Macaca mulatta: one gene and its partners. The protein of the gene in region 3 purifies or fractionates together with the protein of the main gene of each other region. This does not show direct contact. Links are inferred from orthologs where the notes say so. Each region holds a gene or a part of one and is shown on either strand. Other genes may lie near its edges. The genes, in order: WDR75, UTP15 and UTP4.

What was found.
Region 1: the proteins of UTP4 (region 3) and WDR75 purify together in Homo sapiens (co-immunoprecipitation; 3 studies listed by BioGRID and IntAct, counting the BioPlex papers as one, with this or other methods). This does not show direct contact. The link is inferred for Macaca mulatta from reciprocal best matches to the Homo sapiens genes UTP4 and WDR75.
Region 2: the proteins of UTP4 (region 3) and UTP15 purify together in Homo sapiens (co-immunoprecipitation; 4 studies listed by BioGRID and IntAct, counting the BioPlex papers as one, with this or other methods). This does not show direct contact. The link is inferred for Macaca mulatta from reciprocal best matches to the Homo sapiens genes UTP4 and UTP15.

What each region holds. Positions count from the first base shown.
Region 1 is NC_133417.1:94,453,626-94,457,082, reverse strand, and holds part of WDR75 (WD repeat-containing protein 75), read right to left. Parts: intron 3,402-3,457; coding exon 3,306-3,401; intron 2,683-3,305; coding exon 2,513-2,682; intron 1,942-2,512; coding exon 1,882-1,941; intron 1-1,881. UniProt on the Homo sapiens protein: Ribosome biogenesis factor. Part of the small subunit (SSU) processome, first precursor of the small eukaryotic ribosomal subunit.
Region 2 is NC_133411.1:79,962,609-79,965,409, forward strand, and holds part of UTP15 (U3 small nucleolar RNA-associated protein 15 homolog), read left to right. Parts: intron 1-864; coding exon 865-949; intron 950-1,771; coding exon 1,772-1,921; intron 1,922-2,695; coding exon 2,696-2,797; intron 2,798-2,801. UniProt on the Homo sapiens protein: Ribosome biogenesis factor. Involved in nucleolar processing of pre-18S ribosomal RNA. Required for optimal pre-ribosomal RNA transcription by RNA polymerase I.
Region 3 is NC_133425.1:64,745,020-64,748,774, reverse strand, and holds the start of UTP4 (U3 small nucleolar RNA-associated protein 4 homolog), read right to left. Parts: upstream 2,183-3,755; 5' UTR 2,142-2,182; exon of another isoform or gene 1,374-2,141; 5' UTR 1,372-1,373; coding exon 1,213-1,371; exon of another isoform or gene 123-1,212; intron 1-122. UniProt on the Homo sapiens protein: Ribosome biogenesis factor. Involved in nucleolar processing of pre-18S ribosomal RNA. Part of the small subunit (SSU) processome, first precursor of the small eukaryotic ribosomal subunit.

The DNA of each region.
Region 1 (3,457 bases), on a different chromosome or scaffold from region 3:
ACATTTGAGATTGTCTCAATAAATTAGCTCACATAGTGGAAGCCAGGGGATAAGTTCTGCACAGGCAGAGAACTTCCAAGTGGCTTTTTAACCCACTTTTAAATCCAAAGACAGTCAAGAATCATCAGACTCTGATGAAAACCTCTAGATGAACGGCAGCAACCAAAACAAACCAAAACCAAACAAAAATGTGATGGAAACAGACCATGAAAAAGAAAAAAAGATGTGATGATAAAGATGAAGAAATCTTCCAGAAAACAAACAAAAAATAGGTAAAACAATAAGAATCATAGAGAACCATTTTAGAAGGTCCAGCACTAAATAATAGGAGTTCTAGAAAATAGAGAAAATACAGGGAAAGAAGTAATTAGCTCCTCCTTAGTTCTCTACTCAAAACCCTCCAAGGGGCCCTATATGTAACTCAGATAAAAAGTCAGAATCTTTTCAAAAAGGCCTACCTAGACTTCCCTGTTTAAAATGATAAGCTGCATCCCATGCATGCCATCTTTTCATCTATCCCCCACCCCACCGTAATTCTTACCACCTTCTCTATTCCATATTTTACTTAATGCATGTTGTTTACTGTCTCGATCTTCTGGTGGACTGTGAATACCACAAATTTATAGGGACTTGACTACTTTTCTCACTACTGTATCCCAAGGGTCTAGAATGGTCCCTGGCATACAGTAAATAACAAAAAAATTATTGAATTAATCCAATGAGTTTCAAAGGAAAATAAACAAGCCAAGTTACAGATGAAGGAACAAGAATAAGAATGGTATTGAACTTCTAGTAATACTGGAAATTAGAAAATAATAGGACAATAATGTCAAAGTTCTGCAAGAATGATTTTCAACCTACAACTCTATAATAATCAAGTGAAAGAGAATAAAAACATTTCCAAACATGCAAGGTCTTCAATTGACCTCCAATGCACTAAAAGAATGCTTCACCAAAACGAGGGAGTGACCAAAGAAAGAGAAAAACTATGCCACTAATAGAGTAGAGGTCAAATAAATCCCCAGATGATGGTGAATATAGATCCTAGGATGACTACTCTGTAGCAGGTTTCCAGAGCAATCAGTCCAGACTGAAGACAGTCAGAAGGCTCTTGGAAATAATCCTTCATGACTTGAAAAAATACTTAAGGTATCTGAAAACACTCAGAGAACACTTATACAACTTGAGCAGAATTTGGGTTGAATTACATGAGAATAGAAAACTAAGCAAATGAAAAAAGAAGGCAATCATTAACTCCAGAGAAAATAAAAACTTGGTCACAAAAGGAAAAACAATCTGCCTATTACTACTACATGGCTTGGCTATGAATTGTGTTAATACAGCTATGACAATGACTACTAAACTAACCTATTTAACATTTACCCATATGGGGAAAATTGGGGGACAAGTAGGGAAAGTGTGTGTTGTGTATATGCAAGCAGTGCTGATGTAAAAAAGGGCTAAAAATTCAGCTTCAATAGATCAGAGTTAACAGATAATACCTAAATCTGAAAAATCTATAATTAGAAATATAAACATTTCTTAGAGATTTCTTAGAGATTCAGAGTTAAAAAAAACTTCAGCTAAAAGATTTGAGAGTGATTGTCTTTGAGGGTAATGGTAGTGGTGATGGAGTTTTTTCTGAAGAGCCTTGTAAAAATATTTGACTCTTTAAATCAGAAGCATGTTACCGATATTATAAATTAAAACAATTTTAAAAGAGCACTAAAACTTTCAAGAGAGACATACCAGTTTATAAGTATATGACTTCTAATTCCATTTTAGGGTCAAGTGAAATATTTTTCTCATAGTCGACTTCTAAAAGGTAATTGTATCCTTTCAGGTAGGCAATGCATCCTGCTATGAATGGCTAAAACATACCTGTTTGCTTGTTGGTGTGAGTTTTTCTTCTGGAGACTTTGTACTGAATGTCAATAAACTCTGAAAAGAGAGATCAATTAACGATACAAAAGACAAACTGTAGAGTGCAAATCTAAACAAGGTGTTACAGGGTGTTAAAAAATGGGAAGGTCAAATTTTTCATTTTGATATATATATTTGACAATAGAAAAGGAATAAAAGATTTAAACCTATTTAATAACCACTATGAGAGTTACAAGATTATGTCTGAGAGATACTTAAGAAATGGAAATGAATAAAAAATAACTGACAGACCAAACTCAAGCCACCATTTTAAAAACTGCAAATCAAACACTAAAATAAAAAAAACAAAAAACATTTACGCAATTTGAAGTATTTTAGTTGTCTTCTGCTTCTTTGCTGTCACAGAGTTAATGCAAGCAATACCTAAGGAACCTCAAAGGTGTGGGGTAAAATGATAATACATTTACATTAATAATACTGCTGTACTGGGCATATTAGACCTAATTTTTGAGGAAATAATCCTTTAATGAAGTTATTTCACCTAGAACAAACTCACACCAACAGTCATGGGCTATTAGTCTAAAATTCCATGTACAAAGCGATTGCCTTTTTTGAGGGGGGCAGTTACCTGTGATTTTGTTAGGAAGTAAAACTGGGATCTATTTAGCCACTGGTAAGCTTCTGAGGTGAAAGATTCAGGGACATCTCGTGGAACAAACACTCCCCACTGGACTTCCTCTCTGGAGATACCCTTTTGAATATACAATGGCCTTGGCTCACTAGGTTTAAATACAAACACTAGAGGAAAAAAACAAAGAGACAATAACATTTTGCCTGAAAAGGTTAGTTCTAGCCTTAGACTGGCAGATCACACTAATCCTGGGACTCACCCCATTGAGTAACTGGCCCAAGTCATGACTGTTTTAGGCTGATTCAAGAGGTATCTACTGTGTGCCTACTATGGGCCAGGCAGGTTAGGAATGAGGGCTATGAGGATGAAAAAGAGAAAGAAGAATTGCTGCTCCAGAGGCCAGGGCCTACTGCAGAAGACAGAAACCACAGTAGTATTTTGTCTGTAAGTACTAGAAATGAGATATGTAGAAACTGCTTCAAGAACACAGAGGATGACCAATTAAAGCTTCTCAGGGGCAGTTGGGAATGTGTCAAAGTGGTAAAATCTCCTGAATTTTAAAGACTGAGTAGGAACTGGCTTGTGGAAAAATAAGAAACGTATTGGAGCTCTCCTAGAACTAAGTATGGACTTACACAATGACAAAGTGTTAGGGCAAGGAAGGGCCGTGCCTCAAGCAAAATGGCTTCCAATTAACATCTGATTTGAAGGCAAGTTTGACTCAAATTATATTAAGAAGAAAACTTAGGTCATAGATATTCTCTTACTACAAAGTGTGGTTTGTACTTACAGTCTGAACCCACTGAAGACTGAGAGATTGCTGCAATATTCTCTGAATTAGGATCAGGTTCCATAACTCTAACATTTAATTTTGCATTCCACTCCACTGAGGGGGAAAAAAAAAGGTGATTCACTTCTGAGGAAAGATTTACCAAAAGCTTT
Region 2 (2,801 bases), on a different chromosome or scaffold from region 3:
TTGTTCTGTTTTGTTTTGTTTTCTTAAAAAATTTTTGAGACAGAGTCTTACTCTGTGACCCAGGCTGAAGGGCAGTGGCATGATTTTGGCTCACTGCAACCTCTGCCTCCAAGGTTCAAGCAATTCTCATACCTCAGCCTCCTGAGTAGGTGGGATTACAGGCATGTGTCACCACACCTGGCTAGTTTTTATTATTTTTGGTAGACATCGGGTTATGCCATGTTGGCCAGGCTAGTCTTGAACTCCTGGCCTCAAGGGATCTGCCCACCTTGGCCTCCAAAGTGCTGGGATTACAGGCCTGAGCCACCACACTCGGCCCTTCTATTTTTTTTATAAATGGCTAGTCAAAGTCTTTATACAGATGTTATAGTTAGAGCTGGTATACAGCCCTTTTTTTTTTTTTAGACAGAGTTTCGCTCTTGTTGCCCAGGCTGGAGTGCAGTGGTGCAATCTCGGCTCGCTGCAACCTCCACGTCCCAGGTTCAAGCAATTCTCCAGCCTCAGCCTCCCAAGTAGCTGGGATTACAAGCATGTGCCACCATGCCTCGCTAATTTTGTATTTTTAATAGAGGTGGGGTTTCACTATGTTGGTCAGGCTGGTCTCAAACTCCTGACCTCAGTTGATTCACCCACCTTGGCCTCCCAAAGTGCTTGGATTACAGGTGTGAGCCACCGTGCCCTGCCTGCAGCTCATTTTTTAAGGGATTCAGTGATGAATTAGTTTGTAACTAACATTACTAATCTTTGTTTTTCTTCACTGTTGTATAGATTTTAATGTTTGTATTTTGAGTTTTCAGAAAATAGAAATTTGCATTTTATACTCATTTTCAAGGTGATTTTTGAGAAAGCTTTTCTTTTTATTAGGAAGGTGAAAGTGTACAGCACAACTGCCTACAAAGTAGTCCACAGCTTTGATTATGCAGCTTCGATTTTGAGTCTTGCCCTTGCAGTAAGTACCTTTACCTGTTTTTAAGTCTGTCACTAACCCTGCCTGTTAAATGAAACTAAAATGGAATTTTGGGCTTTATTTTTGGATTTGAGTAACTTTTCTTACCACATTAGATATTTGAGTTAAGACAATTACTGGAATATGTAACTTGTCCTAATGACTTAGCATGAATTTGGGTTTAGGTCCCACTCACTGCATAACTTCAAACTAAGTACAGTGCTCTAGGCATTGTTAACACTAAACGCAGGTCCTGGGAAGCTGGTAAATCTCTCTTCAACTCATTTAATTCAAGAGTATTATAGTACACTAGAAAGGCAGATTAGCTCTCTGAGCAGAAAAAAAGATTGAGGGGGAAGGGGACAACAAAATGAAATCTCTCCTTTTCTTTGTTACTGCTCTTTCTGAAATGTATACTGTCAAGTTTTATGAGAAGCCACATTTGGGCAGGAAGGCATTTGACTATATTATACAGAAATCTGATTTGGGAGAGGAAAAGCTTATTAAAAATATTTTTGAGGGGCAAGATCGTAAAAGTCATGCTACTGTGTAATCCTTGATGCCGTTAACTTTGTATTATTATACAAACTTTGCCGGTGATATTTTACAAGTATAAGTTCTGTCAATGTACTTGTATCCTAAGGAAAAAATGATTTTACTTTAACGTCTTACACCAATCATTGTTAGGCAGACTATGTGTGTCTGAATGGAACTGTTGGTGAATGTATGGACAAGCAGCAAACACATTATAAATGTGTTTTGAAGTAAAAGTACTATAAATTATGAGTTAAGAATAGACTAACTTATTTTTCTAATTGTTATTAGCATGAAGATGAGACAATAGTTGTAGGAATGACCAATGGAATACTGAGTGTTAAACATCGGAAATCTGAAGCAAAGAAGGAATCACTTCCCAGAAGAAGAAGGCCTGCATATCGAACCTTTATTAAAGGAAAAAATTACATGAAGCAACGGGTATTTGTGCATTTCTCATTTTTGTTTAAAGGGTGAAATTTTTTAGAGTAACCAGCTTCGTCCCTGCACATTACGGGAAAGTGTAGTTCACATGGCACTTTAACTTTATTTTGCATTTCTCTACATCAGAATTATTTCTGGATTGCTAGATTGGGGACATTATTGATGAGTAATGGGGAACAAGGACTACTTTTTGTAATAGTCTGCATCATAACATAATGTTATAATGCTTTACTTCATTCAAAATATTGTCTTTCACATACTACCTGATTTGATCTAAATCCCAAGAAGTAGTAGAACCAATCATGTCCCTGTTTGGCACCTGAGAAGATTGAGAGACAAAGAATTTGTGATTGATTAAGGATTTCATTACTGGTATCCAGAGTTGTTGAGACTAGATCTCATTATCTCTGATTGTTGTTTTGTTTCTCTTTCTATTGTATTACACTGCCTGCCACATAAAGAGAACTGAAATGAGGAATTTTTACCTAGAATTAAGGCAGTGTTGCATGTTGTAAGTTAAAATTCTAACAAAGTAAGAACATGTTGATGTAGCAAGTTACTCCATTTTTTTTTTCTGACTCTGATTAGCAGGATTCATTTTTATTTAATCTACGGGCATATGAACATTTATTTATTATGTTTATTATGGGCATATGAACATTATTTGTGGCATAGTTCAGAGATACCACTTCATTATGGAAAAGTTTATATTAAGTGTATCTTTATACAGATACTGATTTTTCTTCTTTATAAATGTGCTTTTCGTTGCAGGATGACATTTTGATTAACAGGCCAGCAAAGAAACACCTAGAATTGTACGACAGGGATCTGAAACATTTTCGGATCTCTAAGGCACTCGACAGAGTTCTTGATGTGA
Region 3 (3,755 bases):
AATTAGGTGGGCATGATGGTGCACACCTGTAATCCCAGCAACTTGGGAGGCTGAGGCAGGAGAGGGAGGCGGAGCTTGCAGTGAGCCAAGACCACGCCACTGCACTCCAGGCTGGGTGGCAGAGTGAGACTCTGTCTCCAAAAAAAAAAAAAGAAAAAGAAAAAGAAAGAAAATCACAGGATGCAAGAAGCACACAGCATCATATGTTCTTCATACCACAGAATGTAACCCATTTGTGGTGGGCCTGTAGTTTTTAAATTCTGATTAGTTCTTCAGGGGTGAGCTCAGTAAATCATCCCTTTCCACACTTCCTAAACCCACCTCTCAGGGAAGGCAATTCTCTATTAAGGTTCTATGCCTGTGTTTCAATTTATCATATTTATTTTACAGGCTGGAGACTGTACACTTACGTTTCTCCCACTGGTCTTTGAGCTCCGTAAAGGTAGGGCCTCTGACATCTGTCTCAGTACCCAGTATTTGCCACTCATTCACCGAGCAACATTTACAGAATGCCTAAATTCCAGGTACCAGGCTGCTGGGCACTGAATTCACTCATTTTCCCATCTATTCATTTACATCACAGTACCCAGTACATAACAGTCATTCAACATGTACTAAGATGTTGCACCCGAAATTACTAGTCAGTGACCTTGGAGGGGAGAAGAAAAAGGACTAATAGACCTCCGCATACACCCAAAGGACATTTTACCTAATTTTAAATCTCCTTTACTCCCAAATGTAGACATGTAGATCTACATTCTCTCAGACAGATGAACTTTGGAATCCACCTTCCTGCCAACAGTCACCAAAAAGTTTCTGATATTAAAATGTGTTATCATTTTTTTCTGAATTGACAATGAAACAGTACTGACACTCCCAGCAGGAAATGTTGCTTACCAAAGCTGCAATGGTGTTGAGACTGATATACCAACAATTTCCCTTCCTGTGGCCAAAATATCCAGCAAACCTCAGTTTCCAATGACAGGCAGTGAGATGACACATTTCTAGGTAGGACCCTTCTAATCAACATTACACAGATTGAAACTGAGCTTCTCTCATCAGTTAGACAGGAGATCTCAGAAGTTCGGTAGTTCTAAACAACTTCAGAGGGGCTAGGAAGTCACTCTATTAGTTTGATTATAAAAGACAAGTTTCTTGAACTTCAGAAGAAATTAACATCAAAACACCATATCAGACTCCCAAATGACTTACTTTCTCCTGAAAGTAGTTTGCTGACAAGTTATAAACTTCCACAGTGCCATCTGTTCGTGAAACAGCCAATCTGTTTGACTGGTTATTGTAAGCCACACAGCGGATTCCTGATGGAACATAATTAAAGAAACGTACTCGATGGACCTTAAATTCACCCATTCCTGCGGGGGGAAAAGAGAGTCATTATTGTTAAATGTTAACTGCAGTATGTCACGTATAGTATTCAGTTCCTTAATATCACTGTTCTGGATAGCAGGCTCCAACATCTCCCTGAAGTTCATTTCCAAATAGCTACTAACAATGCTCCCCACCCCCAAGAATTGCTTAATCTTCAAAAGCTCAGGATGGTTTGAATAACAAGGAGGCTTCAGCAAAAAATCAAAAAGGGTCCTACTCCATAGCTCCAGAATTCCAATCTCGGGGCGCCTAGGAATCCGCATTTTAGCAAGCATTTCTCCTCAACTCTATTGCTAAGTTTGCAAACAAGAGACCTAAACTGAGGTCGTGACAGTAAGGCTGATGGGGCAGGCAGAACTGAGCTCCTCTTGAGGAAGAAGCGACAGGGTTTGACTTACTCTGGCTGCCTGGTCTGACGTCTGTCACTTACCCTACCCCGTCCCCCCGACGCCGGCCAACATACGTACTGGGCCAGAGTAGAGACCCGGTCTTGTTCGCCCCTCACTCGTCTAGCTTCAAGGTTAGGAACCCGCAGAAAGAGCAGGCGCGTTCGGCAGGGCCAGAGCGCCTGGGGCGCGCGCGGTCTTCGCCTCCCCTTCCTTCTTCCAGGGTCTACAGAGTAGCCCCCACCCAGCCTCGGGACAAGGAGACCCTCGGGACAAGGAGATCAGCCGGACGCCGACCCTGGGCCGGCCCACCATGTAAGACTCCCAGCTCTCGCAGCCGCTTCCCACGCCCCTTCCCCAACTCACCAGCTGCCGCACGCTCCCCTTCCCGGCGCTCGCCTCTCTCCGCCCCGGCCCCACGTGCGCGCGCGCTCTCAGGCTCTGCCCCGGAAGTGCTCCTGGCGCATAGTCGGAAGTGCGCAGGCAGTGCTCGCGGCGGCGGCGACGGCGGCGGGAGGTTCGGTTGTCGCCCGTTGGCCGCGCGGCGCCGCGCTCGGCGGCCGCCATTGCAGGTCAGGCCGCGGGCGGGGGGCATGGGAGGCCGCGGGGAGCGAGGGCCGAGCCGGGGATGGGGGCGAGGGCGCGAGGGAGCGGGAAGCTAGGGAGCCGGGGTCGGGCGGGGCGCGCGGCTCGGAGAGAAGAATGGCGAGCCGAGGGGCGGGGAGCTCGGGCGGGGGAGGGGTGGCTGGGAAGGGGGAGGGTGGCGGGAGGGCGGTGCGGAGATGGGGGCGAGCCCGGAGGGGCCCCCGGGGTGGGAGGGCCGGGAGTTTGGGGGAAGGGAGCGGTGTGGAGACGGGAGGCGGAGGGAAGGAAGGGAGCGAGCGGGGAGGAGCGTGAGAAGGGCGGAAAGGGTGGCCGAGCGCGGGCGGAGGACGGAGAAGGGGGCGGCGCGGGCCGGAACCTCGAGGTACGTGCGGGAAGGGGTTCTTCCCGGGGTTGGGAGGGAGCCCAGCCCGCTATGCTTGCGGGAGCGGAGTAGAACTGGAACCTAGGAAGTAGCGGGAATAGCAGAAAGGGGAGTTCGGGGTGGGGGGAAGGACCGTGAGGTTTTGTTCCAGGGAACATTTGTAATCGTGGAGTAGGGAGGCTTCTGGGAGAGGTAATTGGGAAGGTGGTTGGAGAGTCATTCCAGGTTCTTTTGTGGATGGGAAGCCGTAGAGATGAGTGGGATGGGGTCCTGGAGGGGCGGAGTACTTGAGAACCGGGAACAATTTGGAGAACGAGGGTGGTAGAGAAAGGACGTTTAAAGAGTAATCTTTGGGAGGAGGGTGAACGGTTTGGAAGACCACTCCGGTGGGTGGTGTGGAGGAAGGCGGTTTAAAGAATAGTTTCCCTGGGAGGCAGGAAAAGGGGTTAAAACAGCTTGTAATTTAGAGGGGGGTGGAGAAGAGGGGGGAAGCGGATTGAGAAGTCCCAGAAAGTGGGTGGGACTAGAAATAGGAAGTGTTTGTAGCTCTAGCAGAAAGGGTGGGAGGGGGCCGAGAGGGAGTGGGTGGAGAAGATGGGGGTGGGTGGGAGGAAGAGGATAGAGGGAGACTCCACGCCGGGCTGGAAAGGAAAGGGTTTGGGGGAATACAAGGGTCCGTAGCATTAAGAGGAGGACAGGCTAAGATGGGGCTGCAGAGTAGCAGAAGATGGAGAAAACTGCAGTAACTCAGATCGACTGAAGCCATCTTTTCCACCCATTGCTACAAATACCAGTAATTGATTCCCTCCAACGTGGGAATCCTAAAATGTGATGGGAAGTATCACGTGTATGCATAGCATCCACATAAGTTTTTGAACACACTCTTCACTAATGTAAAGTTTGGAAGCATTCAATTCCACCAACCCTCCATAAGCCCCCTTTTGGAGGGGAGCAAGCTTCTCATTTGGAAACAGGATTTTAGACTTAGTGACATAAGCCTTTCAAGAGACAAG